Linked DNA regions of Macaca fascicularis. The main gene of each other region encodes a partner of the protein of the gene in region 2 in a complex. Links are inferred from orthologs where the notes say so. Each region holds a gene or a part of one and is shown on either strand. Other genes may lie near its edges.

Region 1 (7,368 bases), about 43 Mb from region 2:
CCGGGCACGGTGGCTCACGCCTGTAATCCCAGCACTGTGGGAGGCCAAGGCAGGAGGATCACCTGAGGTTGGGAGTTCATGACTAGCCTGACCAACATGGAGAAACCCCGTCTCTACTAAAAATTCAAAAATTAGCTGGTGTGGTGGCACAAGCCTGTAATCCCAGCTATTCAGGGGGCTGAGGCAAGAGAATTTCTTGAGCCCCGGAGGCGGAGGTTGCGGTGAGCCAAGATCATGCCATTGCACTCCAGCCTGGGCAATAAGAACGAATCTCCTTCTCAAAAATAAATAAATAAACAAATAAATAAAAAATACAAAATTAAAAAAATAAAGAATTATGAACCATAAGAGGCGATTCCTGAGAGGACCCCAGTGCTCACAGGATCACAGGCATAGAGAATGGTGCCAGGGCCAGCACCCACCGAGGGACAAGCAGGGAGACAGGTGTTGTCCAGGGTACACCTCATGGTCAGTCTCATTTTTGGTGGCAGCCCTTCCACTCGCAGGGTCGGGGGGATGCACTGTGGAAGGGGTAGGTCCCCCTCTCCCAATGCTCAGCTCCTCACAGCCTGTGTTAAACCCACCTGCCCTGCAGAGGCCATGGGCAGCACTGGGCAGAAAGGAGAAGTGAGGGCCCTGTCTTAGAGGGACATAGAGGACAGTAGACACAACTCCCTGGGAGTTTGTCAGGGCATGGTTGGTTCCTTGGAGAAGAGGTGTTGGAACCAACTCTGCAGGATGGCCAGGGCTTCCCCACTGCAGAGTCAGAGTGGGGAGTCCAGGAAAGGGAGCATTGCTCCCTGGTGCAGGCTTGGGGGAACTGGCTGCCCCCGCTCCCACCTGACGACCCCATCCTCCTGTTCCAGCCTGTAAGCTGTGTGCAACTGCCTTTGGGGCTGTGGGACTGAGTGGGGACTAAGACTCTCCTGGAGAGAGCTATAAGGCCGAGTCTGTGTGGGATGTGGGTGGACACCCGGGCCCGGACCGTCCTCTTGGTTTGTCGTGGCTGGTGTAGGGTATGTGTGTGTGTGAGCCAGACCCCTGCTGCCCTGGTCGGCTTGTTTTGTGGCCCCTGCCTGTGGGCACCAGCAGTCTCACTGGAGGCTCTGTGGCCACCCCTGCACCTGCTGCCCACCCCTCAGGCAGAAGGCAGGACAAATGATCAATTTTAATTAGTTTTGACTCCTTTGAATTAATTCTGGCTGCAATCAGAATTTCTTCAGTAAAAAAGCACAGAAAGTTCTGCTCCCAAATAAGGGTCTTGTTAAATAAAGTGGGTCTTTCTAAGCCAGGAGAAGGTCAGCTCAGCTCCTGGGAAGGTAGCAGTACCTACGGCTCAGAGGAGTGGAGGGCCCATCCGTGTGGGAGCCTGGGCCTGTGCTCCAACCTCAGACCAGCATGCGCCCCCAGGGGTGGTGGGTGGGCCCTGGAGGGCAGAGAGGGGCCTCTAGCTGGCTCTCGGAAGTCCTGGCCAGTGACAATTCTGCAGACACCATCAAGTGTCCACTGGAGCCAGGGCCTGTGCTAGGGGCTGAGGATGACAGAGGCGACCCATCTGGCTAAGTGACCTGTGGCTGGAGAAACTGAGGCCTTCCTTCCCCTCAGGAACCCTGACACTCTCCGAGGCCAGGTCTTTGGGGGCGCCAGATACTCTTGTCCCTCGGTTTGCTTGTGGCTTGGTCCTTGATGTGTGATATATCTCTGTGTGTAGCTGCCACATCCTCCAGTCTCTCTCATACACACTGTTTCCCAAGCACACACTCACAAACACACCTTGTCTCAGACTCAAACTCACACATGCCACACACACACCATACATCACACACTCCATGCACACACATGCATCTACACATACTCCACATGCACATCACACACATATTCCATGAACACCACACACACACACACACACACACACACACACACACCCCAACCTCCTTCATGCACTTTCCTGACCCTTGGAGACCTGGCTCCTAGATGTGTCTCTGCTCAAAGGTCCCCTCCCTGCCTGGGGGCAGCTCTGGACTCTGGTCTACTTTCGGCCAGGGCACACCTAGCCCACCCCCAGGTCCACCTTCCTCCAGTCTACCCGCAGCCTCCTCTAGGCCATCATCAGTCCGCGCTTCATCCACACCTCAGCTCCCTCCCCGGTCTACCCCCACACTCTGCCCCCAGCCTGGACGGAAGTTCCCCAAGTCCTTCCAGCCTGCAGCCCAGCCTACCATCAGCCGGCCCCCACTCTCACTCCAGCTCACCTCCCAGCCTGCCCCTGCAGTCTGCTCCCAAAACGCTCCTTTGCAGCTCAGCACCCCAGTCCCGCCCTCAGAGCCGGCACCCCACCTTACCCCAGCTAGTCCCCAGCTCGAAACCCAGCCCTCACCCCACTCTCACCCCCGCTGAGATTCCAGCCCAGACTCCAGCCGCCCCCTGTCCCTCCCACCCGGCGCGCCTGCAAGGCCTGCACCCCACATCTGGAGGTAACGGGCACGGCTGGAGGCGTGGTCTGGGGGGTGCGGCCTGGGGGCGGACTCCCTGAGGCCCCGCCCCACCCCAATCCCATCCGGGCGTCCCCGGTTGCACCCCCAGCCGGACCAAGCGTGACCCAGCCGCGGCCGGCCAGCCATGGAGACTGGAGCGCGGCGGCGCCCGCAACTTCTCCCGCTGCTGCTGCTGCTCTGCGGTAAGGGGGCGTCGACCCGCACCGGAGGCGCCCCCACTTCCCGGAGTTCATCGGACCCGCGTGGACCCGCGCCTTCCTGCACCTGCGCCGCAGTCCTTCCTTTCCCCCTGAGCTCGGGAGGGGCGCACAGCGACCCTGGCGGGCTCCCCAGGCTCTGCGGGAGGGTTCACCCGGGAGAAGCTGAAGGCAAAGAACTCTGGCGGGCAAGGGAGGCACAGGGTCCCCTCCGGGCTCTTCTGCCGGCGGGGTCCGGCAGTCCCCGCTCCTCCTAGTTGTGATGTCCCCCCACGCCCCAGTTCTGGGGTCGCCTCAGGGTGGGCGAGAGAGGAGGCGGACCAGGCCTGGCTCTTTCCCCCTTCCCCCTAGGATGGGTTGTCGGTGAGGTAGTGAGCTCCCTGTCCTGGCATTGAGTGCCTGCCCACCACTCACAGGGGCGTGGGCGGGTGGACTCCGGACTGCGTAGCTGGTCCTAGCAGGGCCCTTCAGTGTGTGGACGCTTGTGTGTGTCTTGGAACTGGCTGACAGGGGAAGCGGGGCGACTCTCTGAGCCATCCTCTCCTAATGTCTTCTTCCGCAATAAATCAGGACTCTGGGGAGAACCGTTGCTCACAAAATGGAAACAGATTAAACTAAAAGCTTATTTTGAACTACCTTACTAAAGAAATTATCCAAGAGAAAGTGAGAGAGAGAGAGAGAGAGAGAGAGGAGGGGGGGGGAGAGAGAGAGAGAGAGAGAGAGAGAATGTGTGTAAGGGCTGTTGGGGAAGAGTGCTTGCTGAGGGCTGGAGTACACTAAGTGGCGACTGAGCCTGGCCAGTTCTGGGGGGACACTGGTGAGGGAGGGCCCTGGTCTGGTGGTCCCCAGTTTCCCTGACTGTAAGATGCAGCGTTGGGCCTGTTTTGATGATTTGGGATTTGGTAAGGGAGGTGGGAAAAGGGTGGACCAAACTCAGTGTTCATTTTCCTTCCATTGAAGAGGTCTTGGTGTGCAGAACATGTGTGGCTTCATTTGGTGTTCCAGGGCTGGAGCCTAGGACGTGGTTCATTTTGTGTTGAAGTGCAAAGGTGCGTGGCAGCTTCTGAAATCAGGAACATGCTGATTTGGGATTTCAGCAAACTTCCAGTGAGCTCCCCTCAGGTGGAGATCTTGGTCACTATAATGGAAGGAAGGTCCTCTGAATTCATTCTGGGAGAAGCTGAGGCTTTCCTAACCATCTCCAGTATGGAATTGAGAAGGACCACAGGCTTCCGCCTGCACAGAATCCCTCCTCTTAATAATCCTGTCTCTTGTGGACCCAGTTCCTGAGGGTCACTTCTTTGTCTTGTTGTGTTGGTCCTGACTGTCCCCCTCCAATGGGACATGGGTTCATGCTCCCTGGCCAGAATGGGGACCAGGCCCAGCTTCTCAGCAGACCCTCCCAGTGTTTGCCTGGCCAGAGTGAGATTCAGAGAGAGGTAAAACTTGCTCATGGTTCCAGGCTGATGTGTCAGAGGTGGGACTGGAGCCCACATCTGCCCTGGATGCTGCTGTATCTGGAAGGAAGGAGCTGGGTGGGTTCCTCTTGAGTGAGGACTGGCTCAGGGGGACCAGCAGGGAGGGTGCTGACCTCTGGGGCTTCTTTGAGAATTCCAAACCTTTTTCCAGAAAGCATTTGATGCTGTGCAGGGCTGTGGGGATGCAAAGTCCAGCAGTTGTCTACTCAGCAGGATGCTTTGCTGTTTTCTATTTTGATTCAGTTCCTGCGACTTTTACTAATGCAGCCAGTAGTCCAGCCCTTGACTGGACTCTTTTGGTCTGGGTGAAAATCCCGATCATGATCCCAAGATTACAAAGCACTCACTGGCCTCAGTTTCCCAGCTGCAATGTAGATGTAATAGTAGCAACCTGCAAAGGGCTGCTGAGACCGTCAGTTTGATTCCATTCAGTTTAGTCTTTATCGTCTTGTGTTGGGCATGGGATTGTGGGGTGGAAGGATTCATGCTTAAACAAGGGGAGGTGTAGGAAGGCACCCACCAGTGACTGCACTGGGCCTCATGAGGCTCACTCACAGCACCCAAAGATGGAGCACCATAGTGTGTGTGCCTGTGTGTGCAAGCATGGTACCACCATTTTTATCACTAAATGATGTCCTGCTACCATGTTACCTGTGGTCACATTGATTCTGCTGAATCAAGTGGGCCCAAGGGCCGTGGTTGGATAGCAGTAACTCTGGTGAATTAAAGACTTGGAGGTGGCAGGCCGGGGGCAGTGGCTCACGCCTGTAATCTCAGCACTTTGGGAGGCCGAGCAGATCACGAGGTCAGGAGTTTGAGACCATCCTGGCCAACATGGTGAAACCCCATCTCTACTAAAAATACAAAAAATTAGCTGGGTGTGGTGATGCATGCCTGTAGTCTCAGCTACTCGGGAGGCTGAGACAGGGGAATCACTTGAACCTGGGAGGCGGAGATTGCAGTGAGCCGAGATTGTGCCATTGCACTCCAGCCTGGTGACAAAGCGAGATTCTGTCAAAAAAAAAAAAAAAAAAAAAAAAAAAAAAAAGAAGACTTGATGGTGGTGATTGGCCAAGAAGAGGCCCATAGATTTTTGGCACTGGAGGTTCCTTGGAGGTTATCTGACCTCCATGCTCTTACCTACTCTTCATAAGGAAACAGAAGTCTGGAGGGTTGAGAGGAAGTTGCCCAACCACAGAGAACAGGGGCAGAACCACCCAGAATCCACAGCCTCCCAAGGTCGACTGACCATGGCCCATGGCAGCCACTTGCCAGTCTGATCGATGCTCTTTCTGTTAAGGATGGGGAGAGCGCCTGCGTTTCATTTCCAAATGACTAGCCACAAAAGCCCTTTCTCGCGGAAGTGCATCTGTTTGGCTGTTTATCATCTCTCGGCGTCTGGAAGTCCCTGAGACAAAAGAAACACAGGCCGGCATGTTCTTTGTCTCCCAATGAAACCAACCAAAATGGATTTCTATTTTGATTCAGTTCCTGTGACCTTTACTAATGCAGCCAGTAGCTTGATTGGCAATGACCCTCTTTTGTGGTGTTGCCAGGAATCTGTCTTTACACCATTGTTCTAACATTGGGTGGGTTGTCAGGTTTTGCTGGGAGCCCCTCAAGCCTCATGTGCACTAGAAATGAGCTTCCTGGGAGGACACTTGGTCTCTCAGGGTGCCTGCCTTGTGCAGGCCCAGGGCTGGCGCTGTCACAGGCATCCTCATAGCACCTCCATGGGCAGAGAAGTTATCTCAGAACACCTGCCTGAGGATGGCCTGTGGTCCTCAAAGGCACATTTACAATCTGCCCAGGCCAGGTCCTTGCCATGGGGCATGTGGAGGTTCTGGGGTATGCAGAGATTTGGGGCATGCAGAGATTCAGGGAGGGGCATGTTGTCAGGGACCCCTCCTTCTCTTTAGATAGCTATGCCACCTGGGTGCGTGTTTGTAGAGTCCTGGGGGAGGGGCTGGGCAATGCCCTGGCACTGGGGGTGGTGTGGAATTGATGCTATCTTTGCCTGGCTCAGAGGGGGAGATCAGGGGCTCAGGGAGAATAATAGTTGCCAGAGGGTAATGGATACTTACCAGGACCTTGTCCCAGAGCTGTGTTTCAGAGCATCATGGTTAATGTGAAAATGCGGCAGATGCAGGCCCTGTATAGGGAGGTGGGCTGTAGGAACAGCCACAACTTGGGCTGGCTGCGGCAAATACCTGCTAGGAATGGGCTTGGGGGGAGAAGGCAGTGGTTCAGATTCGTTCTAACTTCCAGGATGAGGAGGAAGGAAGGAGGGGAGAGGAAACAGGGGATGGAGAGGAGGGTAAAGAGGACGGGGGAAGGAGGAAGAAAGAAAGAAGGGGAAGGAGAGGGAGGCGGAGGAGGAAGAAGAACTGGGCTGGGTCTTGGTCTGATAGGTGACAGTCAGAGCACGCTGAGGGGGCACCAGGCCAAGGGGTCCAGGTCTAGGGGTTCAGATTCAGACCTAGGGGTCCAGGTGGACCAGGCTGCAGGTGTGGGCGCTGGCCAGGAGGGACAGGGTGGGGCTAGCCTGGCTCGTGCCCACTGGGATGGTGGGCCGAGCTCAGGAGACCCACCCAAGGGTTCTGAGATAATCTGTTAGGGAATGACGCCAGGCCCAGGGATGAGGACAGTAGCTGGATGTGGAGAGCAGCTAGGTGAACCTTCAGAGTCCAAGGCAGGGGCAGCTTTAGGGTGGAGGTGCACAGGCCTTAGTTCTCGTCTGGCTCCACGTGGTCCCTGGGGCTTGCATCCCTTGGTCACTTATGCCAGGGCTGTCTTTTCACCTGCAGGCAGGTGCCGCTGAGCAGGGTGGCAGAAGGAGGCCTTGGGAAAGTTGCTTTCTTTTGGGCCTCCATCGCCCCATCTCTAAACCGAGGGAGGTGATGAAGAGGGCATGATGTTTTTCAGGCCCTTCCCAGAATCGATGCTGACCTGTACTCCAGAATCTGATGCAGAGCCCAGGCTTGGCGTGGGGCTTGGAAATGCCCACTGGGAGAGAAGGAAAGGAAGGTGGGGGTTGGGGGCCAGGGCTAAGTGTGGCCACTCTAGCCAGGAGCCCTCAGGGCAAGGAGGTGAGCCTTGGATGAAGCCCTGCTTGGCAGACCAAGGGTGGGAATTGAAGTGAGGGCGTCAGTCTGAGGCAATGGTGACGTGCCACCTGGAGACAACTCTGTGGGCAGA
Region 2 (6,679 bases):
TTTTGTGTGATATGTTCAGTGCTGGTTACAATATGATAAAGCCTTGGTGCTTTTTGAATTTTAATTTTTTAGCCAGTGTATATGTATCAGTACAAAGTAAAGTTCCAAATTTGATAGAAATAATAAGTTCTCATGGGGATGACTCATAATATCTTTGCTGAAATTCATACTAAAATATTAGGCCATGATAGCAATTTTCATAATTTTTTAAAATAATATTTGATAACTTATCATTACCAGACCCTACATCAAGTGCTCTATCTTAGAAATAAATAAGAAAACTTCTTTGTTCTGTATGTTGCTTAAATTATTAACTGAGTATATATCTGAGATTCTGGGTTAAGTGCATGAGGCTGGGAAATCACAATATATATTGGGAGTAAAGAGTGGTCAGAATGGTGAGATAATATTTATCAAGACATTATTATCAGCAGGATAAACACACTGTGAAACTAGTATATTGTTAGCAAACAACTAAAGTGGCACTTAACTAAAATTAGAATTTAGCTGGATTGTATTATAATACCGGTCAACAATATTTTAATTTCGTACTGGGACTCTAGAAGGTGAAATCTCATAAATGATCAAGGTTATCTATATTCCATTCCAGTGACCTAAAGAATTTTAGATAATGTTGTTGGCTACAAGATAATATTTAAATTCTAACCTCTGAATTGGCCAAGCAACTGAAAGAAAAAATCAGGTTGAATTAAATAACATAGAAATAATGAACAAGCAAATATTAAAATGAATGTACTTGCCAAATTTAATCTCAATCATTCAGATATTCTCTAGTTCTTCAAAGCACCTATGTGATGTGTTTATTGTCTGAGAAATCAAATAGCAAGCCTAGATTGGTATAATATGCAGGGAGATTTTGCAAGTGTATTTGGAATCTTCACAAAATTTTAATCTTTGATAATTTCTCAGGGAAAATATTTTTGAAGCATTTTCCTATGTTAACAAAGGCAAAGCATTGCTGTACCTATAGATAATGCTTTTATAGATGGTTATTTTCTTTTTTAGCACAGGATGTGGAAGTCAGAATCATATGGTAATATTTGAAGAACATTGCTATTGTTTTAAAGGCTAAGGAAAAAACATACTGAAAAAAAGGGAACCTTATTTGGCTGAAAAATCACTGAGATCTGATAATATTTAAAACAATTTTCTGCTAGTAGGTTTGGTTACTCAATCTGCTAAGAGCTAGTACAAAAATCCTTTTTCCTTGGCAGTTTTTAGGTGTAATTCATCATTTTTTATTGTATGACTGAAACAGATATTATTTTACTAAATGCAAGATTTAAACTGCAGGTTATAGAGTTATTTGTATGTTTAATTTTTATTTAAAATGTATGAAAAAATATTTTTTCAAGCAAAAGATGTTTTCAAGCAACCTATTAGAATCATTACTGCTTCATGTAAATCCGTTACAAAGTTAAATAAGAAAACTTATAACTGTAAATTTACTGAGATAGCCACCAGACAAACCCTATTTAAAGCATCTCTATTGGACATTAACAACGTGTGAAAAAGGATTAGCACCGATCAGCACAAAAAATTGATGTTGAAAATTTGTCAATTATTTTGCTAACATTATTTGTCAATGACCAACCCTTCCAAGTTTACTTGCGATTTTTAAAAGTGGCCACATTTTATATTTATCAGATTGCCGAAAGTAGTTTTTTTAAAATAAAATGAATATAATTTGGTTTCAATGAAGTTATGTAGCTGGATATGGGAAAATATATTGTATGCAGAGAGATGCTACTCTTAAAGGTCATTCCATTCATGAACGAGGCTATAGGAAACGGTATTTTTTGTTTTGTTTTAACTTAAGTCTGGATCGAGTCATTTCTTGGTTTTAACTGTTACAACTATCCAGAATTTGTTCTCCTTCACCTGATGAGTCTTTCAATATTTGAAGAAAGGATTATGTTTACTCTGGGTCTTCCCTTTACAAACCAAACATCCTCCATTACTCACTCCCCACAGCTTGTCCGCTCACAGCCTGGAGACTCTCCACATGTGCTTTGATGATTGATATTTCTCTCTAAAATACTCTATGTGTGGACTGACCTGTGAAAAGTACGATGTGCTTCTCTTACTCCAGATTCACATGGGGGAACTACTTGAAGATTCTGAGGTCCTGTCCCTAGAGATTCAAATTCTATTGATCTGGACAGGGTCAGGCATCTGCATTTTTTAAAAGCTCACCATTTTTTTTTCATTTTGTGAAAGGGCATCTGGGTTGAGAATCACTGTCCCAAACCATATTTGGACCATCTTGGCTCTGTGCCATTAAAGTTGTTTGTTTGGCTTCAAGTGTGGGGCTGTAAATGCTTTCTTGTTAAATTTTGCTTTTTACATTCCCGCATATTCCTTCAGAATGTCAGCCTCTTTTGAATTTCAATACAGTTCTTTCACTATCTGTCTTTTACCAAGGACTTTTTCCAAAGTGAAACCTCTGGCATTTCATTAATGTGTTTTTGTGTGTGTGTGTGTGTGTCTGTGTGTGTGTGTGTGTATTTATAATTTAAGTTTGGAATATATGTATATATTTCAGACACATTTTAAAGTGAATTTGTCCTGCAGCTGAGAGGTTTCTGTATAAGAACCAGGCTGAAAAGATGGATCAATGCCTGGAAATCTCTGATTTGTTGATCAAAATCTTGCCTTGTAGTCAATATTTATATCCACTTTGGCAAGAGCCGCATTGTTACTTTGGAACTGGCCTAGTATCCTCAACTGCACAACAGCTCTTTGTGCCAATCAAGTTACTTCTAATGTAGTTGTCAAATAAAGATTAATGAAGCATCATTCATTGGGAAGAGTCAATAAGGTCCTGAAGGATTATCATCAAATAGCATTTAGTTAGAGATTCCAGGAATGTAGCCGATTTAGCGCACAGCACAAAGCCCTTTCTTTCTTCACATCCCAACTTTTCCATCACAATGGGAATTCCCAGAAGTGGCTAGCCTGCACTGGTTTTAAAAGAGGTCCTCTGCAATCCCACTTACATTATCTCTGCCTTACTGAGGTGAAATTTTGTTTTCAGGGACAAATTAGATCTTTTACTCTTGAAGGAAGCACAAAAAGCATTTTTCAAACATTGTTTCAGGGGTAGATTCATTTTTCTTCTTTAATTGGGATTCTAAAGCCACTTAACCCCTGTAGGCTCAGGCTCACTTTACTCTCAGGAACAAATTTCACCCATTAACAACCTATATGTTGTGCCCATAGGTAATCCATTTAGTTTCAGCATCTGGGTCTCCTTCATAATTAAGATTTCTACCCCCTTTTCAGTGAGACAATTGAAAAATGTTTAAAACTCACATTTAAATAAAACTATTCACAGAGTTTTAGAAAAGCTATGTTTATAAACCAGAATTTAATACCAACACATATAACTGACCAGCAATATGCCTTAAAAAAAGGACAGCTTGTAATATTTGTACAACTAAGCAGTATTTCAATTAAGGAAACGCTTCAGAAGCTGCTGAAATGTGGAGTATGATTAGGTAGGTACATTTTGTATCGGATTTTCTTCTTAAAACCATGAAAACTCTAATTCATAGCAAAAGCATAAAATGAAAATAAGCACTCTACCTGATGGATCAAAATCTGGAAAATAATCTGGGCAGAACTGATAGGACAGTACTCCAGCCGGTGTGTCATCCCAGCACAGCCATCCATCCCAGGTGCGATTGCAATATGGACCTGGCCATTTAGAAGGAAATTAATATTGAAGCCTTGTGGATTTAACTAAATGAGAAGATTGATCTCAAGACAGTATTACATGGAGCTGGGCTCACTACACCAGTCATAACCACCTACTTTTCAAACGAGCCAAAGTCATTGATTTTGGAAATACAGTTTCAAATAGCCTTAGCATATCTGTGACCAAATTATCTCATTGGATGACAAGCAGGGCTCTATTTCTACTTTGTAAAAGGTTCCAAAGTTGAGCTTATCAAAAAAGCAAATGCCCCAAAGACTGCAAGACCCTCTCTCTCTCAACAAAACAAAACAAAACAAAACAAACAAACAAACAAACAAAAACCTACACAAAACCATGAAGATTTACCTCTATAAAGGTGTGTATTCAAAAGAATCAGATTCAGGCTTTCAAGAAAGCTCTCAAAAATTATTTAAAAAATGAAAAGAGTTCTCAGAAAACCCCCGAAAATATCAGTACTGTGTTTTTATTGTCTCATTGGCTTCAACGAAATTGTTTCTCCTTCGGTCAGAGTTATATCTAATGCCTGTTCAGTTCTTGATAAACACTGAAATTACTGCAGACAGAAGAATAACATGTATCTGCCTTTCAGTTGACTTGATGTTTTTGTTTAAAGGAAAATGCTAAAAATAAGAACTACAAACTAAAACTTGAACTATTTGAAAGCAAAGAATGTGCAGTAACAGAGTATATTTAACCATTTTTTTCCTACCAAGTTGGCTTGTCTTAAAATGTACCTGGTAGTAGACCAGACACAGTGTCTCACACCTGTAATCCTAGCACTTTGGGAGGCTTTCTTGAGCCCAGGAGTTGGAGACCAGCATGGACAACATGCTCTACAAAAAAAAATACATGCTCTACAAAAAAATACAAAAATTTGCCAGGCATGGTGGTATGCACCTGTAGTCCCAACTGCTCAGGAGGCTAAAGTGGGAGGATCGTTCTGGGTGAGAGAGGGAGATCCTGTCTCAAATATATATGAGATTGTAAAAGATCTTATTAAATCTTTTCAAATGCCTCAGGGGACAAATAGGAAAATTTAAAGGGATGTTGCAATGAGCTTGCCCATCACATCTCCCCTTTTGCTTTCTATGGGTCCTCTACAGCTAATAGAATATGTTTAGACTGGAAAATATCTGGGCAGTCACATACAGCCATTCTGGAGAAGCTGGTAGATAAGCAATGTCTGGCTAAGAGGTATCATTTTGTAATTCTCCTGGAAAGTGGGGCCAGAAAGTGTGGAAGAATAGTATGGGTTGCCAACCAGTTGACAGTTAAAGGGAAGATACTACCTAATTAATCCAAGCAAGATAGGGTTTGATAGCATCCACCTCAGTCAAATTCTCTGCCCATTATTTTCCAATTCCCTTTCCTGTCATTTTCTACATCCCCTTCCCCACTCGGTCCGGTATTGTTCCTGCTCCCCAGGTGTGAATACTGAATTATTGCAGTCATTTTATCATGAGGGCAGATGTTAGTCAAACTGCAGTCAGATGAACTTGGGCAAAGAAATTAGGCATATGCACTGCGTGAAATACACAAACATACCATAGTGTGAAAACTGCTGGCATATTAAATTAAAATTATTCAACACATATTTAACCACAAAAGAAAATGTCTTTAATGGTGTTTCAAACATACGTTCATATATATCCTTCTCTTTACCTTCTCCTTGGTATGGGGGTAACTGCTGCATCCGGTCATAGCATTTGTACTGTGCATCCATCATCTTCTTTCGTCCTACGATGTAAAGAAATGGCTCGGGCTCTATTGTTGGATAGGTTTGATTTGAAAAGGCAGGAAGAATTGGGATTGGGTGCTGTATTAAAAAGAAAAATCAGTTACTTATAGATAGGAGGAATGGGTGAGCACAAACAAATGAGACAACGAAAAAATTTGAAAACATTTGTTTTTGCTCTCTAAGCAATATTTATTCATGGTCTCTATGTACAATATTTTTTCGTATATATAACTAAAAATGTTTTTACATTTCATCTACAAATTCTACCTGCACATTTTATATTTGCATTTACTATTGAAAATTGATAACACCTACACACACTCATACACCTCTTTATCAGCTAGAATTGTTTTAACTGTATTATGATTCTAAAGTTTAGAAGTAAACAAAACAAATAATCTAATTCCCAAAAAATAAAATATTAAATCAACTTTGCCTTACTCTGAAGAATCATGAATCATGTTATTAAAAATAGACATAGTTCAATAAATATGCTTTTTTATTTGATTCTTTCAGCTAAATTTTATTGGTGCTGTGTACACTGTTAGAAATTTATCCCATCTATTCCATGGAACAAACAAAATATGTTTTATGCTCCTCATAATTGACCATAATCTCCTTAAATTGGTTTCAACAGCAGATGACCTGTACAGGGCAATTTATTTTCACTAATGAAAAATCGATGTATTTCTTAGATATTTATCTCAGCACATTTGCATTTTGGTACAGATTGACAATAGTTTTTTTTCAGTTTCAGTTAATCATCACCATCACAAGTCTCTCTTTTTCAAAGGTAATGTGGGTGTTTGAAAAGATCACTGTGTCACATTGCTCTTTCTAACTTGTGTTTATACAGATTTCAATTTCTTTTGTGGCTATGACCAATGTTTTTAGTGGTGTTGGAATCTGCGACTTTTTAATATCCATGTTCTACATAGAGATTTTTTCTTTTCTTTTTTTTTTTTTTGAGAAACCTAAAAACATCAGCCTGCATTGACTTTCCTTTTTCTGAATTTAGGAATGCTGTTTAATTTCTATCATACCCGTTGAAACTTCAGTTGTAAGAATGAAGTTTCTCCAGTTGTATTGATGGCAGAAGTGGTGTTATGTACTCTTCTATATGTGCTAGTTTCTAAACAAAACTCATCCTTATTAAGTTGACATGTATATTCCTGGCTCTTCATGGTGAATCCTCACTG
Region 3 (7,435 bases), on a different chromosome or scaffold from region 2:
TTGCATGGTTGGGCAAATCACTGACTTTTCTCCTCCCAGGTGGTGTCAGACTCAAGACAGTCCTTCCTGAGACCCGTGTGGGGGTACGTGGTCCGGGAGAACAGGGGGCAGGGCTTCCTGGGCCAGCTGTACCCCACCCCCTGGAGTGAGCTGGCCCAGGCCATGGGCCAGGTCACTCTGCCTCCCCTCCTTCCCCCATGGTTTTCCAGAACTCTCAGCTAATTCAGGAGCTGCTTCCTTGGAGCCAAGCCGTGGGGGCCTGAACATGGCATGTATGGGGGTGACACTAATGTACCCTGAGGGTCTGTTGGGGGCACAGAGGAGGACCCCCTGTCCCTGGGGTGGTGGGTGGGGTGGGGGTTCTGGGAGGCTGGGCATTGCCCCTGTGAGGGATGGAGGTGGTGCTAACCCTGGCGGAGGGCAGAGTGGATGGCCAGGGCCTGGGGTTTCGGGGTTCTGGTTCTTGGTCCCAGAAAATCCACCGTGTGACTGCCTGTGGGAGGCAGTGAAGCACTCTCGAAGCACAGTGAGGAGTCACTGAGACAGCTGAGAACGCAGAGTCAGTGGAGCTGCGACTCAGGCCCATAGCCCTGCACCCTGCCACGTCTAGAGGGCTGCGACTCAGGCCCATAGCCCTGCACCCCTGCCACGTCTCGGGGGCTGCGACTCAGGCCCATAGCCCTGCACCCCTGCCACGTCTGGCTAGTGTGTCCCCGTGGACCCTGCTCCAACAAAGCCACCCAGAACCCGTGATTTAAAAGATGGTTAAAATGATGCCTTTTGGATGCTGCAGAAATTACTGAAATAAAACATCTTAGGAAAAAAATATTTTTCCTGAACACAAGAACATCATTCGGTGAAGTGAGCACGATTTTGTTTGGGCTGGGAGCTCTCCTATGGTGGCCGTGTTGATGCACCCTCCTCAACAAGGAGAAACAGGTCCTCCAGGAACATCACCCAGCTGGGGGTCCTCCTGTTCCGGAGCGGAGAGGGCTGGGGACAAGGACATCCCTCCGGGGCTTCGTGTGTCTGCTGTGGGATGTGTCAGAGGTAAGCAGGGGGTATGGCAGGCTGGGAACTGGACAGTGCCCTGGCAGTACCATCTCTGCCTCTTCATTTGTCACCAAGAAACTGATGGGCAGGGGCAGTGGGCACACGGTCCAGCAAGTGCTGGAGCCACCAGGGCCACTGCAGCCCAGGCTCCCCTGTCCCCTTCCCAGCTCCCACTGTCTTCCTGGCTGCAGCGCCTCCTCCTTCAGGAGGCCCCCCTGGGTCCCCAGTGGAGGAGGAGGCTGTTAGGCAGGATTCCCACAGTCCCCCAGGTACGCCATTCTGGGAGCCCCCTGAGCCTGCTGTCTACCAGACACCATCCCTGCAAGGGACAGACACCCATCTCAAACGTTATGGGTCACATGATGGAAATGTGTACCGCATGAGCTCGATCTAGGGGCTCAAAAGGTGTCAGGAGGGCTCTGTCTGTGTCATGGACAGGTGCTCTCCCGTGACTCACAGGGTAGACTGTGGCAGCCCCACTCAGATCCAGCCTGGAGGAAGGACGCAGTTTTTCCCCGTGGTTCCAGCAGAACACTGACTGTCCAGCCTGCGGCCAGTCTCCTCCCTGGGACCATCTGGATGGCCAGGCCTGGCTCAGGGCCCACTGAGGGCCAGCCCACCATACCACAAGGACCATCAGGAAAGAGGGGTTCTAGGCCTGAGTTGGGGGTGGGGGCACTGGCGGGCAAGCCCGAGGGGCTTCACTCTCTGGGCTCATCATTTCCCCTGGAATTCACACTACACACGGCACCTGCATCACACAGTCAGCCAGACGCCAGTTGTAACTGATTAGAAGCTAAGAAATGGGTGCATTCTGGGGAAAAAAATCAGGACAGACTTTTCCAACTAGCCTTAAGTAAAGATTCCACCTCAAACACTTCCCGGAGCTGAATCTACCATTCGCACTGCGGATAGAAATGTTTCTCAACAGCCCCGGCCTCAGACTGGCAATAAGCACACTGACAGGCATGCGCCTATGGAAGGAAGACAAAAATCCAGAAATTTCCTCCTGCAGCTAAACACACAGGGTAAACAAACACACTGGGTTGATTAGCAAATAAGAATCCTTCAGATTTGGACTTTGGCATGAGAACTGTGTCCAGATTTAAAACCACATGGCATCTGAAGCAGTCACATAGCATTTCCTGTGATGTCCCCGTCATTCCAATTCTACTTGTATTTATATAAAGTCATATATTTCAATTAATGTTGCAGCCATTAAAAAACCCCTAGCTCCTACACGACAGACAAGGAGGGCATGCGTTTCCCAGGACAGATGACTGAGTTCATGTGTGACAGCACCAGCCAGCACTCCCTGAGTGAAGATGGACTCAAAAAACCAGGGGCTTCTGACGCATCCTTCTTTCCTGATTAACGAACAGCTTTTCGGTGTCTATACACAAACCTTTAAGAATGCATGTAGAGTCTCCTGTAAACACAAGAGTACACAGGATGCTCAGAGGGAAAAGAACTATATATGGATCCTAAGTTTTTTTTTTTTTTTTTTTTCTGAGACGGAGTTTCACTCTTAGGCTGGAGTGCAGTGGCATCTCAGCTCACTGCAACCTCTGCCTTCTGAGTTCAAGTGATTCTCCTGCCTCAGCCTCCCAAGTAGCTGGGACTAGAGGCGCCCGCCACCACGCCTGGCTAATTTTTTTGTATTTTTAGTAGAGACGGGGTTTCACCATGTTGGCCAGGCTGGTCTGGAATTCCTCACCTCAGGTGATTCACCCACCTCAGCCTCCCAAAGTGCTAGGATTACAGGCGTGAGCCACCATGCCTGGTCAGATGGTGAGATTCTTAATAACTACCTAAGACAAATAACTTGATTGTAAAATTGTCACAGATAAGTTCTCAAACCTGTAAACTAGAGTACTTTAAAAAAAATTCCATGTTGCCATTCTGGATAGCAAAATCTTCATCACCAAGGAGATCTGGCTAGTGCTGCAGCTTGGGAAGGAAACAGCCTGTGCTCAGTAATTCTACTAATTACAGCTGGGCTCCAATGACATTCATTTACTGATAACCTCATAAAGTTGTGCTTGTTCTTCCAAGACATAACATTAGCCAGGCCACTCAAAATAATGTTAAAATTACAGGACTTTGGACTTTCGGCAGAACATGACTAGTTTTCTTGATAAACAAGTAAGGTCTTTATATATGATCGTGACATAGTGTTTTATTTACACAAGCTTTAGAGGGTGCAGCCTCTGGACACTAGTAAAGAACATTTATTTATCTGGTTATTTATATAAAAAATATTCCACAAGCCAGCTCTCTGCCTTGCTAACAAAGAAATGTTTGTTTCTTAGGAAACGAAAACAGTGAAGGCCATGTCAAGCCAAATGGAGAGAATAAAATTACTCTGAGATTTTGCTTTCCACGCAACTTCAGCCAAAACTCTAAAGTGGCAAGACCCGCTTTCAGATTATATTATATTGGCCTCTGAGGATTCTATGCAGATCTGCCACCCCTTGGAGAGGTTTACAAATAGGGACCAGAAATCCATGGCTCCCAAGAAGCCCTGGCCCCTCTCCTTGCTGGGCCACGAACTGCTCCCCCAGCTACAAAAACAGCGCCGGTGGTCACTGCTTGCTCAGTGCCAGTGCCAAGGAGTCTTGTGCGGCAGGTGCCTCTGACCAACATCACTGTTTCTGGGGAAAGGCCACACATACCAGAAACAACTGCTCCGGCCTTCCCAGGGGCACTGGGTTCTCCCACGCCAAGAACCTATTCTGTTGCCATTAAAAGGGAGCTAAATACACGGAATAATGCAATAACCAAAGCGGCTTAGAAGGGGCTTGAGTTAGCATTTTAGAAACACGTTACAGACAAGGGAAGTGAACAGGACCGTTTCTTGCTGAGTGTCTGGCCAGTTCCTGTGGCCATTGGGCTGTTGATAATCTCCACTTCTCCCTCCAAGTGGAAAGCCAAACATGTTCCACCACTTCACCAAGGGACCCGTCCTTCTTTAAATTTCTATTAGCCAAAAGTGCCAAGTTAACAAGCAAACCAAAAGAAAAAAGAAAAAAAAGCGATGGAAATGTCCCGAAAAGACATGATTTGCAAACAAGCAACTGCTGCATGCGACAGATTGTCAGTGTTGACTAATTTCCATACAAACGGGCTGTGGTTCTGATTCCCAAACACTGCGTCTTCTGCAAGGTGCCTGCCTGCAGGTTTTGCAACGCGGGACCCTAGGGAAGGGAGCCTGCGCTGGCGGTCACCGCGGCGCACAGCCTGAGAAACGGAGGAGCGGGGCTGGGGAACCCCGCGTCCTTTTTTTCCTTCTGAAAACAAGTTCTCCAGTGTGCAGGGCTGACTTGCCCCAAGCTTTTCAGAACGCCCGCTCCCCGACGTCCCCAAAGCCGTCCCTTCCCCAGCGAGAAGCGCAACCCCGGTCCGCGCCCTCCGCCTCTCCTGTGCCCTGGGGCCTCCAGCCTGGAACCCGGGCGGCTCGCGTTCAAGGGCAGCAGATCCGTGCGCCCGCGGCGCCCGCCCTCCCCGCCCCCCTGCCGCTCCCCGTCCCCCTGCCGCTCCCCGTCCCCCCGCCGCTCCCCTCCTCTCCCCTAGAGGACACCGGCTGGCCGGGGGAAGGGAGCTCGACCGGGACCCCCGGCCCTACTCACCCAGGAGCAGCCAGAGGCCGCGCTGCGGGAGACGGCACAGGGCCCGGGCCATGGTGCACAGCGGTGCCAAGCCGAGTCCGCTCGCCACGCGCCCCGCTGAGGACTGAGCCCGCCGCCGCGCGGGCCAGGAGGAGACGCGCCGGGGGCGGGAGCGGGCGCGGGAGCGGTGGGAGGCGGCGGCCGCGCGGACCGGCCCACTGCGGCTCCCCGGGTGGGTGCCAGGGCTGGGGACGCCCAGGGCTGGGAAAACCTTGCAGGGGGGCCGCGCGGGCGTCTCCAGGCCCCTCCCGGGGGGCGGCACACTTGGGCTCCGAGGGATGACTGCTGAAATGTTCTCCGAGCAAATAAACACTTTTTAAACTAGGAAGGGTCTCCTAGACGACTCAGCGTGAGCAGCATCTTGGTCTCCACCTGGGGATCTTCCCCTCCTCCTCCTCCGAGGTTCTCGGCATTCCTGCCTGGTGTTTGCCTTGCAAAAGGCTAAGATCTCCCAGCTGTATCTACCTCTCCGCCCAGGTGCAGGCTCTGGGGAGCGGTGGGGGCAAAACTCGCCGCCGCGCCTGACGAGACTCGTAGTAACCCAAAATGGCGCACACTTACCAGGCCCTGGAATGCTGCTCCAGATCTGCAGGATGAGTGGGTGGGCAGAGGCGGGGACAGCACGGCAGGTGAACAGAAGCCGTGGGGCTGGAGGGAACAGAGCTGTTTGCGGGGATTGAGATGGCCTAGGGGTCTTGCTGTTGATGGATAGCAAGAGGCTGGCAGGAGGCTGTGAGGGCCTGGCCAGAGTCCTTAGAGACGTGGTTTGCTTTGGGGGCAGTCACTCTGGCAGCTGCATGGAGAACTGATGGGGGATCTTGGGTACATTCGTTTATGTAAAGTGGTGAGAGAAGGGCGCTCTGGAGATGGGCTGGGGAAGCCTGGGGAGGAGCAGGTTCTGGGAGGCACAGGCCTGGCCTCTCAGGGCATTACTGGTGGCTGGATTTCACTTGCAATGGTTCCTTCTTGTATTATCCTGTTCCAATAACTCTTAGCAACAGTACATTTATACTTGCGCTAAGGAATGCACCATTGCCCTTGGAGGGGGAAGAATCACCACCCTGGTGCTGCAGCCACAGCTGTCTCTTTTGTGGTGGAAGCTGCAAGCACACAGCATTGCTGAGTGACCAACGTTTCCTCCTAGGAAAGGGAACAGTCTGTGGCTGAGAGGCTGCTGCCACCTGCAGTAAGCTCAGAGAAGGGGAGACAGCCGACAGCGAGGTCATCCACCGGTTCTTCTAACACAGGCTGAGAGGGCACTCAGGGCCAGCATGCCTACCACCTGCGCGGGGGCCCCAAGTGTTCTGAGAGTGAGGGGTCTGGGTGAGATGGTGGGGGAGGGCACACATTCTCTTGACTTGATTAGCCCCTCTTCTTGAACCCTAGGAGATACACCCCATTGGGTGGCCTGGCCTCCCTACTTTCTTCATTTAACAGACATTTGTGTCCCTATGTGCAAGACAGTGTTAGATCAACAAGCCCTGCCCTTCAATTGGTGAATCTAGGGGTGACCTCTAAAACTCTCAATAACATGAGCGCCACAATACAGGAGCCATACAGAACAAGGGACACTTGCCTCAGCTGCAGTGCAAGTAAGGAGACAAAGGACTCTGGACAAAATACAGCCCAGGCAGTCCTGAGGGCTGGGTGGAGAGAAGTGCACAAGGGGAATGCAGGCCCAAGCACAGGCCTGGCAGCCAGAGGCCGTGCCATGTGAGAGCAGCACAGCTAGTGGGAAGGGTGGATGCCAGCACAGCCCTGGGACAGGGCCACCGTGCATCCTGCACTAGGTGACAGCCAGTCACAGTGGGGGAGAAGAGCCTGCATCTTTCTGCAACCATCACCCGCACTCCATACCCAGGGACTCTCTGGCTTGAGCCACCCTTTCTACTGTAGCTTGTGGACTTCGGCTGCATGTTTGTGGTTGGCAACTGGGACGCCTCTTTCATCAGGCTCAGCAGGAGTCTGTCTTCCCAACGTTTTCTCTTTGAAGCTTGACTGCAAGGAGGCAGGGCCAGAGGCCACCGCCATTTTCTCAACACTCCCTAAAGGATACATTTTCCTAAGAAGACAAAGCCTGTTTCTCAAGTTCACGTGCTTTAGAAATTCATGGTTCTCTGGAGAATGCTGAAGTGAGGCACACACCTAGAGGCAGGTTCTCTCCTCATGATTTTCCTGTCTGTACCTTGGGTCTAAGTAAGAGATTCCTTAGCAACTACTATGGGCTTCCCTTTTTCAAAAGTTCTGTATTTCTCAATGTATCTGTATTCCTCAATGTATCTGTATTTCTAATTTGTCATAGGTAGCATGGAAAATCATTCCTCTCCCAGGGTACCTCAATCTAGAGGGACATTAGGTTAAACAACGGAAGAGATTAGAAAATGGCCAAATGCTTTACTGCATACACAGTAGGGCTAAAGATAACAATCAAAGCCTGGTCAACACTGCTAAAAATTCACTATTAACATAAGACTCCTGCTTCCAGCCAAGATGAAGTTACAGGGACTGGACTTACCTTCCCATCTTAAACTAAAAAACTGGATAAAATGTATGAAACAATGGTTGTCACAGTGGACCACAAGAAGTGCAGGGACCCCTGATAGCAGGGTAACAAATAGAGTGCGAGAACTGCTCACTGCCTGGAGTTTGCAGACCACAGAGAGAGAAAGGAAACCCAAAGAGAGTTTGGGGAAGCCAGGCAGTTAACGCTGGCA
Region 4 (7,212 bases), on a different chromosome or scaffold from region 2:
ATTATTTTCCATTTCCCCATTCAGCACTCCTTTGCTCCATGTCCTCATTTTCTCAGGTCTGGATTATTGCAATAATTTCCTAATTCACCTCCCTTTCTACTCTTTCCCCTAGGAGAACGTACTCCAACTATGACCTAGTCATCTACCAACTCTGCAGTCACCCTCCTGTGATCACGTCCCTTGTGATCTTCTCAGCCAGATGTGATCCCTTTTTCCCTCGAACTCAGATAACATTTGGTTTGTATCCCTAGCATGATTCTCATTACATTTTTTTGTTTGTTTGTTAATGTGTATACATGTCAACTTTCTCACTAGATGAAAGCCACTGAGGGCAGGAAACCAGACTCTATCTAACCTATCTTTCCAACATAATATACCACACAGTGTCTTTTTTTTTTTTGAGACGATGTCTCACTGTCGCCCAGGCTGGAGTGCAGTGGCATGATCTTGGCTCACCGCAACCTCTGCCACCTGGGTTCAAGTGATTCTCCTGCCTCAGCCTCCAGAGTAGCTGGGATTACGGGTGCCTGCCACTGCAACTGGCCAAGTTTTGTATTTTTAGTAGAGATTAGGGTTCACTGTCTTGGTCAGGTTGGTCTTGAACTCCTGACCTCGTGATCCACCCGCCTCAGCCTCCCAAAGTGCTGGGATTACAAGCGTGAGCCACTGCGCACACAATGTCTTATACCAGCAGGTCTTTGATGTACATTAATAAAATGCATGAAGGCAAATACATGCCACAAAGGGAGTAGATACCTTTAGGGAAGACAGATGCATTCATAGAAATAAAGCAAACCTGTATTTCAGGTGAAAACTCAAAATATATATACTTTTTTTTTTTTTTGAGACGGAATCTCACTCCATCACCCAGGCTGGAGTGCAGTGGTGCGATCTCAGCCCACTGCAACCTCTGCCTCCCAGGTTGAAGCGATTCTCCTATCTCAGCCTCCTAAGTAGCTGGGACTACAGGCACACGCCCCAACACCCGGCTAATTTTTATATATGTTGTAGAGACGGGTTTCACCATATTGGTTAAGCTGGTTTCGAATTCCTGACTTCAGGTGATCCACCAGCCTCGGTCTCCCTAAGTGCTGGGATTACAGGTGTGAGCCACTGCGCCCAGTCAGAAAACTCAAAATATTTTTAGGGAACATATGTGTGCCTAGAAAAACAGATGTGCCCTGAGAGATGTGTGTCTCAGAGAATGAATAGGCATGTTCCAGGAAGCATACAAGTATATATGGAAAAGGCAGGATGCCCCAAGAAATGGACATGCATGTACTCAAGGAGGCAGATATTTCAACAAGAAGGAAAGTCCCTGAAGAGGCTCAGGGTGGGCTGGGCACAGTGGCTCACGCCTGTAATCCCAGCACTTTGGGAGGCTGAGGCAGGTGGATCACGAGGTCAGGAGATCGAGACCATCCTGGCTGACATGGTGAAACCCCGTCTCCACTAAAAATACAAAAAAATTAGCTGGGCGTGGTGGCGGGCGCCTGTAGTCCCAGCTACTCAGGAGGCTGAGGCAGGAGAATGGCGTGAACCCGGGAGGCAGAGCTTGCAGTGAGCCAAGATTGCGCCACTGCACTCCAGCCTGGGCAACAGAGTGAGACTCCATCTCAAAAAAAAAAAAAAAAAAAAAAAATTAGCTGGGCATGGTGGCACACGCCTGTGGTCCCAGCTACTTGGAAGTCTGAGGTGGGAGGATCCTTGAGCCCAGGAGGTCGAGGCTGCAGTGAGCCATGTTTGTGCCACTGCACTCCAGCCTGGGTGACAGAGTGAGACTTTGTTTCAAAAAACAAACACACAAGGAACTGTTTGCTGTGGAGATGGCGGTTTTCTGACCCCAGGGTCCAGTGCTCCTCAGCCTTGAGCTTCTTCCAGATCACATAGGTCTCCTGATTGCTGGCTTTAGCGGACACCAGGGGGCAGTGTGTTGCTAGGCTGTAGGCCACACCCAGTCCAGGACAATGTAGGATGAGGGCAAGGGAGGTGGAGGGGGGTTGTGAACCTAGTAAAGGAAGCCCCCACTGCTTTCTCCCACATTTGTGAGGTCCTTAGGAATGGATTCCTGTTGCTCAGTCAGGGTTCCTCTTCCCAGGCCCTGGGAGTAAACTGAGGCATGAAGAAGGGGAATAGTCAGGGCTCCTGGGCAGCCTCCTGCTCCTCTTGCAGGAGTCACAAGCACAGATTTTTCCTTTGCCCCTTCCCCCACACCTCCTCAGTTGCAGGCCCCCAGCTGCTGTCCAGACCGGAAGGGAGTCTCTTCCTGCTTGTTTCCTGGAGCTGAGTTTGGATAAGGACAGGAAAGGCCCGCCTGGGAGGAAAGAATATAGGGGTGTGACCTTCATGGAGGCAGGGAGCAGGGGGGCAGGTGAAATGAACAGAACAATGGGCCATCCAGATTTTTCCAGTTCTACTACCCAGAGCTGAGGGCCTATGGGAGTGGCAGGGAAGGACACAGGTTCCACTGAAATGGGAAGAAGGACATTGTACAAAAAAAGTTTTATTTTGAAGATTACAGAACTTGTGCCATTACCCCACCCGGCTTCCATTCCCAGCAATCCAGGGATCTGTGGTGGGGAAGAGAGTGAGAAAAGGGAGTAAGAGGGGAGGAGGGAGGCCTGGTTGGTGTGGGGAAGTGGAGTAAGGTGGTTATAGAGAAGCTCGTGGCTCCCTAGGCCTGGGCCTCACTGTCTTTACTCCTCCATACTACAAGAGTGATAAGGAAGGGGATGAGGCAGATGGGGGCTATGATCATGGCCAGGAGTACATCCTCTGGGGGGTCAGAGAAGGTGGGCTGCACCAGGGAGCAGTTGGCAAAGTGGATCTGGTGAGTCTCAAAGATGATCCTCTCTGCCAAGGGATTGGGGAAGCCCAGGTCAAACAACTCCGCAAAGTGCTCCAGGCATTCTCGCAGGGTGCTGTAAGGCCTAGGGGCAGAAGAGGACTTGAGTGAGGGAGGGGGTGGGCCCAGGGAGAAGAGTGCCCCACACTCACTCAAGGTCTACCTGCAATGAGCAGGCCCACCCCCTGGCCTGAGCCACCCTCCAGCACTGCCCCTACCTGCTAATCATGGCCCAGTCGCACCAATCCTTTTCGATAGAATCCATTTGATCCTTATAATGATTCCAGCAACATTGGACAGCTGTCTCATAGTTCTTCACCGTCACCCCTGTAGGTACAGATGCTGAACAATGACCACACCCCTGCCCCTCCCTCCAAACCCTCCTGCCCAGGTGCTTGCAAGGTGAACTGCCTGTCTTCAAACGTGGGAACCCTTCAGAAAGTTTCCCTAGCAAGACATTCTGGCGGAGGACAGAGTCCCAGCTCAGGAATCATGTAATGACTTCCATGTGCTAAGCACTTTCCATCCCAGCCTGATAAGAACTTCCACGTACACCTTTTCCTGGGGTCTTCTAGCCCACTTGTGAGGTGGGCAGCTCAGAGCCGCGCAGGGGCCGACCTGCACGTGAGAGGACAGGGAGAAAGACTGCAAGGAACCCCAAGAGAGAACAGAGGGGAGTTTAGTGGGGCATCAGCTGGGGTGGGGCAGGCCTTGTGGGAAAGGGACCCTCCCCACTGAACTTGCTGTCGTCCTTGCCCTCGGCCACCCTTCCACACCCCGGGTACCCACCTTCTGACCCCGTTGTGCCTGTGGTGGGAAGAGGCTGAGCCAGGGCCTCATGGGGCTTCAGGACAGCTGTGGGAAGAAACGGGAGAGGAGGGTAGCATAGCGGGGACCCAGGTAGTGGAGCCTGCGACGGGGTTGGGGGACTGAGACCCTCCGTAAACAGGGCTACCTTGGAAGAAAAGGAGGAATAATCTAGCCCCCACGGACGCCTCAGTGCCGGGGAGGGAGGGGCTGGCACCAGCTCCTAGTCACTCACACCCAGGCCCAAAGCCCCCTCACCTCTGGCCAGCTCCTGTCCTCCGAAGCCCTCTCCGCAGGGCCGGGGCCGGCACCCCAGCTTTCCCCGGGTGGGAAGCAGCTCGTGCTGCGCCCTCCCCGAGGTGGGGTCAGGGACCGTCCGAAGGCCAGTGCTGCTCGGTCCGTCGGTCCGCACCCGGACCCCGGGCCCGTTCCGGCCTCGGCCATCCAGCCCCTCTCCCCTCTCCCCTCCGGGGCCTCCCGCGCCTCCCTCCCGGGCCTCGGGGCGCCGCGCTCACCGCCCAGCAGGAGGAGGAGGCGGAGCGCTGCCGGCCGCCCGGCGCGGGTCCTAGGGAGCCGCGGGCCGCCGGCGCGCTCCACCCGGAGCCAGGCCATCGTGCAGCTAGGAGGCGAGGAGCGGCGGCTGCGCTGAGCCGGGCCCGGGTGTGGGGGCGCCTATATCCCCAGCCCAAGCTGCAGGAAGCCGCGCCGCTTCCTCGGAGGGGCTGGGACGGCGGCGGCCACGTGGGGGGCGGGGGCGACGCCCGGGGCCAGAGGCTGGAGGGGGAGTAGCTGCCGCACCCGCGCCTGGCGCCCGCGGCTCCCTCCGCTTCGCCGGCGTTGGCCCACCCTCTCGTAGCTCACCCCGCGAGGCTGGACAGCTCCCGGAACCCCGGAACCGGGATCTATTTCGGGGGCTCGGCTGCGTGGCGCCCAGGACTCTCCAGGGTCTCCCAGGATCGCTCCCTGGATTCAAGTCGCGCTCTCTCTCTTTCGGGTCTGTAGGGGTCGGCAAGCTGCTCTCCCAGACCTGGAGAACAGGGAGGAGGCTGGGAGCTCCAGCGGCCTCTCGACGCCGCTGCATCTAAAGGGCTGTCTTGGGTTGTGGGGCAAGGGGCGCCTGGAGCTGAGCCGGGCAGCTCAGGGTTCCTTATCCTATCCCTAGGAACACCCGCTGATGTCAGCCCACCAGCCAAAACCAGGGAGGAGAAGCGGGAGCCGGCCCTCCGGAGTCGGGAAAAGGTCTGCGGAGTGGGGTAGAGGGGAAAACAAAGTCCAAATACCCTCCCTTCAGATACCTCCTGGGGCCTAGACCCCACAAACCTGTTGTGGGGGGGACAAAATACGATGGCTACGTTCCCAGGAAGAAGGTGCCACAGTTCTTCAGGACCACGGTTGGGAGAAAGAAGGGAGGGGTTTTAGAACCTTCAGTGTGCCACTTCATGTGCCTGGTGAGTGTATCACCATTTTACAGACCAAGAAACTAAAGCTCAGGGCCAACAGCCCGGGATTTGAATTCAGAGGCTCTGGGTTCTAATTCTGCCTTCCTACTCCCCAGATATAGGGCCTTGAATGACACATTTACCTTTAGGACTTCTCGTGTAAAATAGGGACATTCGCTTCCTCACCAAACAGTGACGATGGCAGCTGTGAAAGGGCACTGCACTCGCTAAATGCTAGTTTCCTTTCCTCTTTTCCTAAGTGACTTATCTAAGGTCACACCGTTAAGGAAGCAGCAAGGCTGAGCCTGGGCCTCCAGGGGCCCTGACTTTGGCCACACCACAGTTGCCTCTTGTGTCCTGGGCCAGAGGTTCATTACTCTGAGGCAGCTGAGGAACCCAAGAGCTGGTTTGGCCATGATGTTCAAGTCCCAGACACAGCTGTCAGCACCAAACTTTCCTAAATTACTCCCAGACACTGACCTTTGGACTCAGCTGCTGCTGTTGTCCCAGTTTACTGCCCACCACAAATTATCTGTCATGATCTCTCTTGAAGTCTTCATCTCAGGATCTCAAGCTCTTGGATCATGGGCACAGATAACCTGTTGTCCTCCTCTATGGTCAAGAGGCTGCTTTTGCAAGGAATCCAGTGGGAGAGAGTCAATGGCCTGCTTGACGTGAACTCCAAAGTCCTCCTGGTAAGGATCATTTCTATAATGATTCAGAAAGGAGCCAGGCAGTCTCCAAGACGTTTCAGGCTGGGACCAAATCTAGTCCTTCCTGCCTGCCTAGGATTGCTCCTTTCAAGAAGGAAACATGGTAGATTTCTGGGTGATAAGATGGGAGGAGGGAGCAAGGAGGTGCAGAAAGCAAAACAAGCCATTTTCACTGGGTTGGGGCCAGAAGCACATGAGCCCACTATGGGTTAGGACTGGGGTTGGGGTCAAGATTAAAGGGGACAAAAGCAAATGTTAGATTTAAAATAGAGCCTGGGCATCATAGTGAAGCCTTGTCTCTACAAAAAAAAAATAATAATAATTTTAAATTAGCCTGGCATAGTGATATGCACCTGTAGTCCCAGCTACTCGGGAGGCTGAGGCAGGAGGATCACTTGAGCCCCAGAGGTCGAGGCTGCAGAGAGCTGTGATTGTGCCCTGTCTCAAAAAAAAAAAAAAAAAAAAAAAAAAAAAGGACAATATGGCATAATGATAATGGATAATGATAATGGATAAAATTTAAAAATGATGGGGATTCTGAAGGTAGGTTCTGCCTCTGTCTTACCGCAAGTAACTTGGGCAGGTTATTTCACATCTCTGGAGCTCAAGATTTTCATATGTAAAATGGCCTTTAGATCAAAAAAGAAAATATAGGTAACTTGGTAGGAAGTTCCTATTTTATTTTTATCTTACTTTTTAGGAGTAGAGGCTCACTCTGTTGCCCACACTGGAGTGCAGTGGAAGAATCATGGCACGCTGCAGTCTTGAGCTTCTGGGCTCAAGAGATCCTCCTGCTTCAGTCTCCCAAGTAGCTAGGACAACAGGCTTATTTTTTGTAGATATGGGGTCTTGCTTTGTTGCCGAGGCTGCTCTCGAACTCCTGGCTTCAAGCGATCTTCCTGCCTCAGTCTCCTAAAGTATTGGGATTCCAGGCATGAGCCACCGCACCTGGCCCTCAGGAAGTTTTATTTTTAGACTAGGATTGGGGTTAAGTTTGCATCATGATGTTGAGACCTCCGAAGGAGAGCTTATTATAGTCATTTCTGAGCTCGGGTGTCCAAACTGTCTAGTTGGAGAATCTGGGAATTTTCTCTCGTTTTGATTTTCCTCTTCCACTTTTCCGTGCCAGTTGGATGTTTGAATGTTTTTATTGACCTCTGAGAGCATCCTGGTAACTGAGGGTTTACTTTGGGGGTCTTTGGAGATGAATAGGGACAGGAGACCTCACCTTTCTTTTCCATGTAGCCATAGGGGATAGTCCCACGATCTGATGATCTGTAGCAATGGGTGGAGGAAGGGCTGTATAAGAAACAGAAGCTGGTTTTGTCATGGGAAGTCCCCTGTTTTCCACTGCTGAGGGCCCTCACCTTCCCTTTCTAAGCCCCTTTCTGTTTTTGCTATTAAAAAA

The links.
Region 1: the proteins of CALCR (region 2) and RAMP3 are in contact, whole or in part, in a cryo-EM structure (PDB 8F0K), measured with the Homo sapiens proteins. The link is inferred for Macaca fascicularis from reciprocal best matches to the Homo sapiens genes CALCR and RAMP3. Residues at the interface, in NP_001158210.1 of Homo sapiens: Arg45, Lys46, Met49, Asp50, Gln52, Tyr53, Lys54, Tyr56, Asp57, Met59, Gln60, Arg74, Thr75, Trp76, Asp77, Gly78, Asn124, Arg126, Phe235, Leu238, Ile242, Thr246, Gln257, Arg258, Trp261, Tyr262, Leu264, Leu265, Phe269, Ile276; in NP_005847.1 of Homo sapiens: Cys57, Leu59, Ile63, Tyr66, Glu67, Thr70, Tyr83, Trp84, Pro85, Gln90, Ile93, Thr94, His97, Arg98, Phe101, Ser102, Cys104, Val106, His110, Leu111, Glu112, Asp113, Pro114, Val118, Leu119, Leu122, Ile123, Pro126, Val127, Leu129.
Region 3: the proteins of CALCR (region 2) and RAMP1 are in contact, whole or in part, in a cryo-EM structure (PDB 9AUC), measured with the Homo sapiens proteins. The link is inferred for Macaca fascicularis from reciprocal best matches to the Homo sapiens genes CALCR and RAMP1. Residues at the interface, in NP_001158210.1 of Homo sapiens: Arg45, Lys46, Met49, Asp50, Gln52, Tyr53, Tyr56, Asp57, Met59, Gln60, Gln61, Thr75, Trp76, Asp77, Gly78, Asn124, Arg126, Phe235, Leu238, Ile242, Thr246, Val250, Ala251, Gln257, Arg258, Trp261, Tyr262, Leu265, Phe269, Ile276; in NP_005846.1 of Homo sapiens: Trp59, Ile63, Tyr66, Arg67, Ala70, Asp71, Phe83, Trp84, Pro85, Val89, Asp90, Phe93, Leu94, His97, Gly98, Phe101, Ser103, Arg109, Ala110, Val111, Arg112, Asp113, Pro114, Ile118, Leu119, Phe122, Ile123, Pro126, Ile127, Val129.
Region 4: the proteins of CALCR (region 2) and RAMP2 are in contact, whole or in part, in a cryo-EM structure (PDB 7TYX), measured with the Homo sapiens proteins. The link is inferred for Macaca fascicularis from reciprocal best matches to the Homo sapiens genes CALCR and RAMP2. Residues at the interface, in NP_001158210.1 of Homo sapiens: Arg45, Lys46, Met48, Met49, Asp50, Gln52, Tyr53, Lys54, Tyr56, Asp57, Met59, Gln60, Trp76, Gly78, Arg126, Phe235, Leu238, Ile242, Thr246, Val250, Glu255, Lys256, Gln257, Arg258, Trp261, Tyr262, Leu264, Leu265, Phe269, Pro273; in NP_005845.2 of Homo sapiens: Trp86, Tyr93, Ser94, Arg97, Asp98, Glu101, Leu109, Pro112, Glu117, Ile120, Phe121, His124, Phe128, Cys131, Pro136, Phe138, Ser139, Asp140, Pro141, Leu146, Met149, Ile150, Pro153, Ile154, Leu156, Ile157, Leu160, Ile161, Leu163, Val164.

The regions. Positions count from the first base shown.
Region 1 is NC_088377.1:85,175,193-85,182,560, reverse strand, and holds the start of RAMP3 (receptor activity-modifying protein 3), read left to right. Parts: upstream 1-2,581; 5' UTR 2,582-2,619; coding exon 2,620-2,677; intron 2,678-7,368. UniProt on the Homo sapiens protein: Accessory protein that interacts with and modulates the function of G-protein coupled receptors including calcitonin gene-related peptide type 1 receptor (CALCRL), calcitonin receptor (CALCR) and G-protein coupled estrogen receptor 1 (GPER1).
Region 2 is NC_088377.1:127,837,278-127,843,956, reverse strand, and holds part of CALCR (calcitonin receptor), read right to left. Parts: intron 5,559-6,679; coding exon 5,405-5,558; intron 3,721-5,404; coding exon 3,610-3,720; intron 1-3,609. UniProt on the Homo sapiens protein: G protein-coupled receptor activated by ligand peptides amylin (IAPP), calcitonin (CT/CALCA) and calcitonin gene-related peptide type 1 (CGRP1/CALCA).
Region 3 is NC_088386.1:133,756,598-133,764,032, reverse strand, and holds the start of RAMP1 (receptor activity-modifying protein 1), read right to left. Parts: upstream 4,788-7,435; 5' UTR 4,735-4,787; coding exon 4,683-4,734; intron 1-4,682. UniProt on the Homo sapiens protein: Accessory protein that interacts with and modulates the function of G-protein coupled receptors including calcitonin gene-related peptide type 1 receptor (CALCRL) and calcitonin receptor (CALCR). Required for the transport of CALCRL to the plasma membrane.
Region 4 is NC_088390.1:63,816,469-63,823,680, reverse strand, and holds RAMP2 (receptor activity-modifying protein 2), read right to left. Parts: upstream 4,736-7,212; 5' UTR 4,734-4,735; coding exon 4,514-4,733; exon of another isoform or gene 4,265-4,513; coding exon of another isoform or gene 4,168-4,264; intron 3,701-4,167; coding exon 3,635-3,700; intron 3,173-3,634; coding exon 3,064-3,172; intron 2,931-3,063; coding exon 2,675-2,930; 3' UTR 2,488-2,674; downstream 1-2,487. UniProt on the Homo sapiens protein: Accessory protein that interacts with and modulates the function of G-protein coupled receptors including calcitonin gene-related peptide type 1 receptor (CALCRL) and calcitonin receptor (CALCR). Required for the transport of CALCRL to the plasma membrane.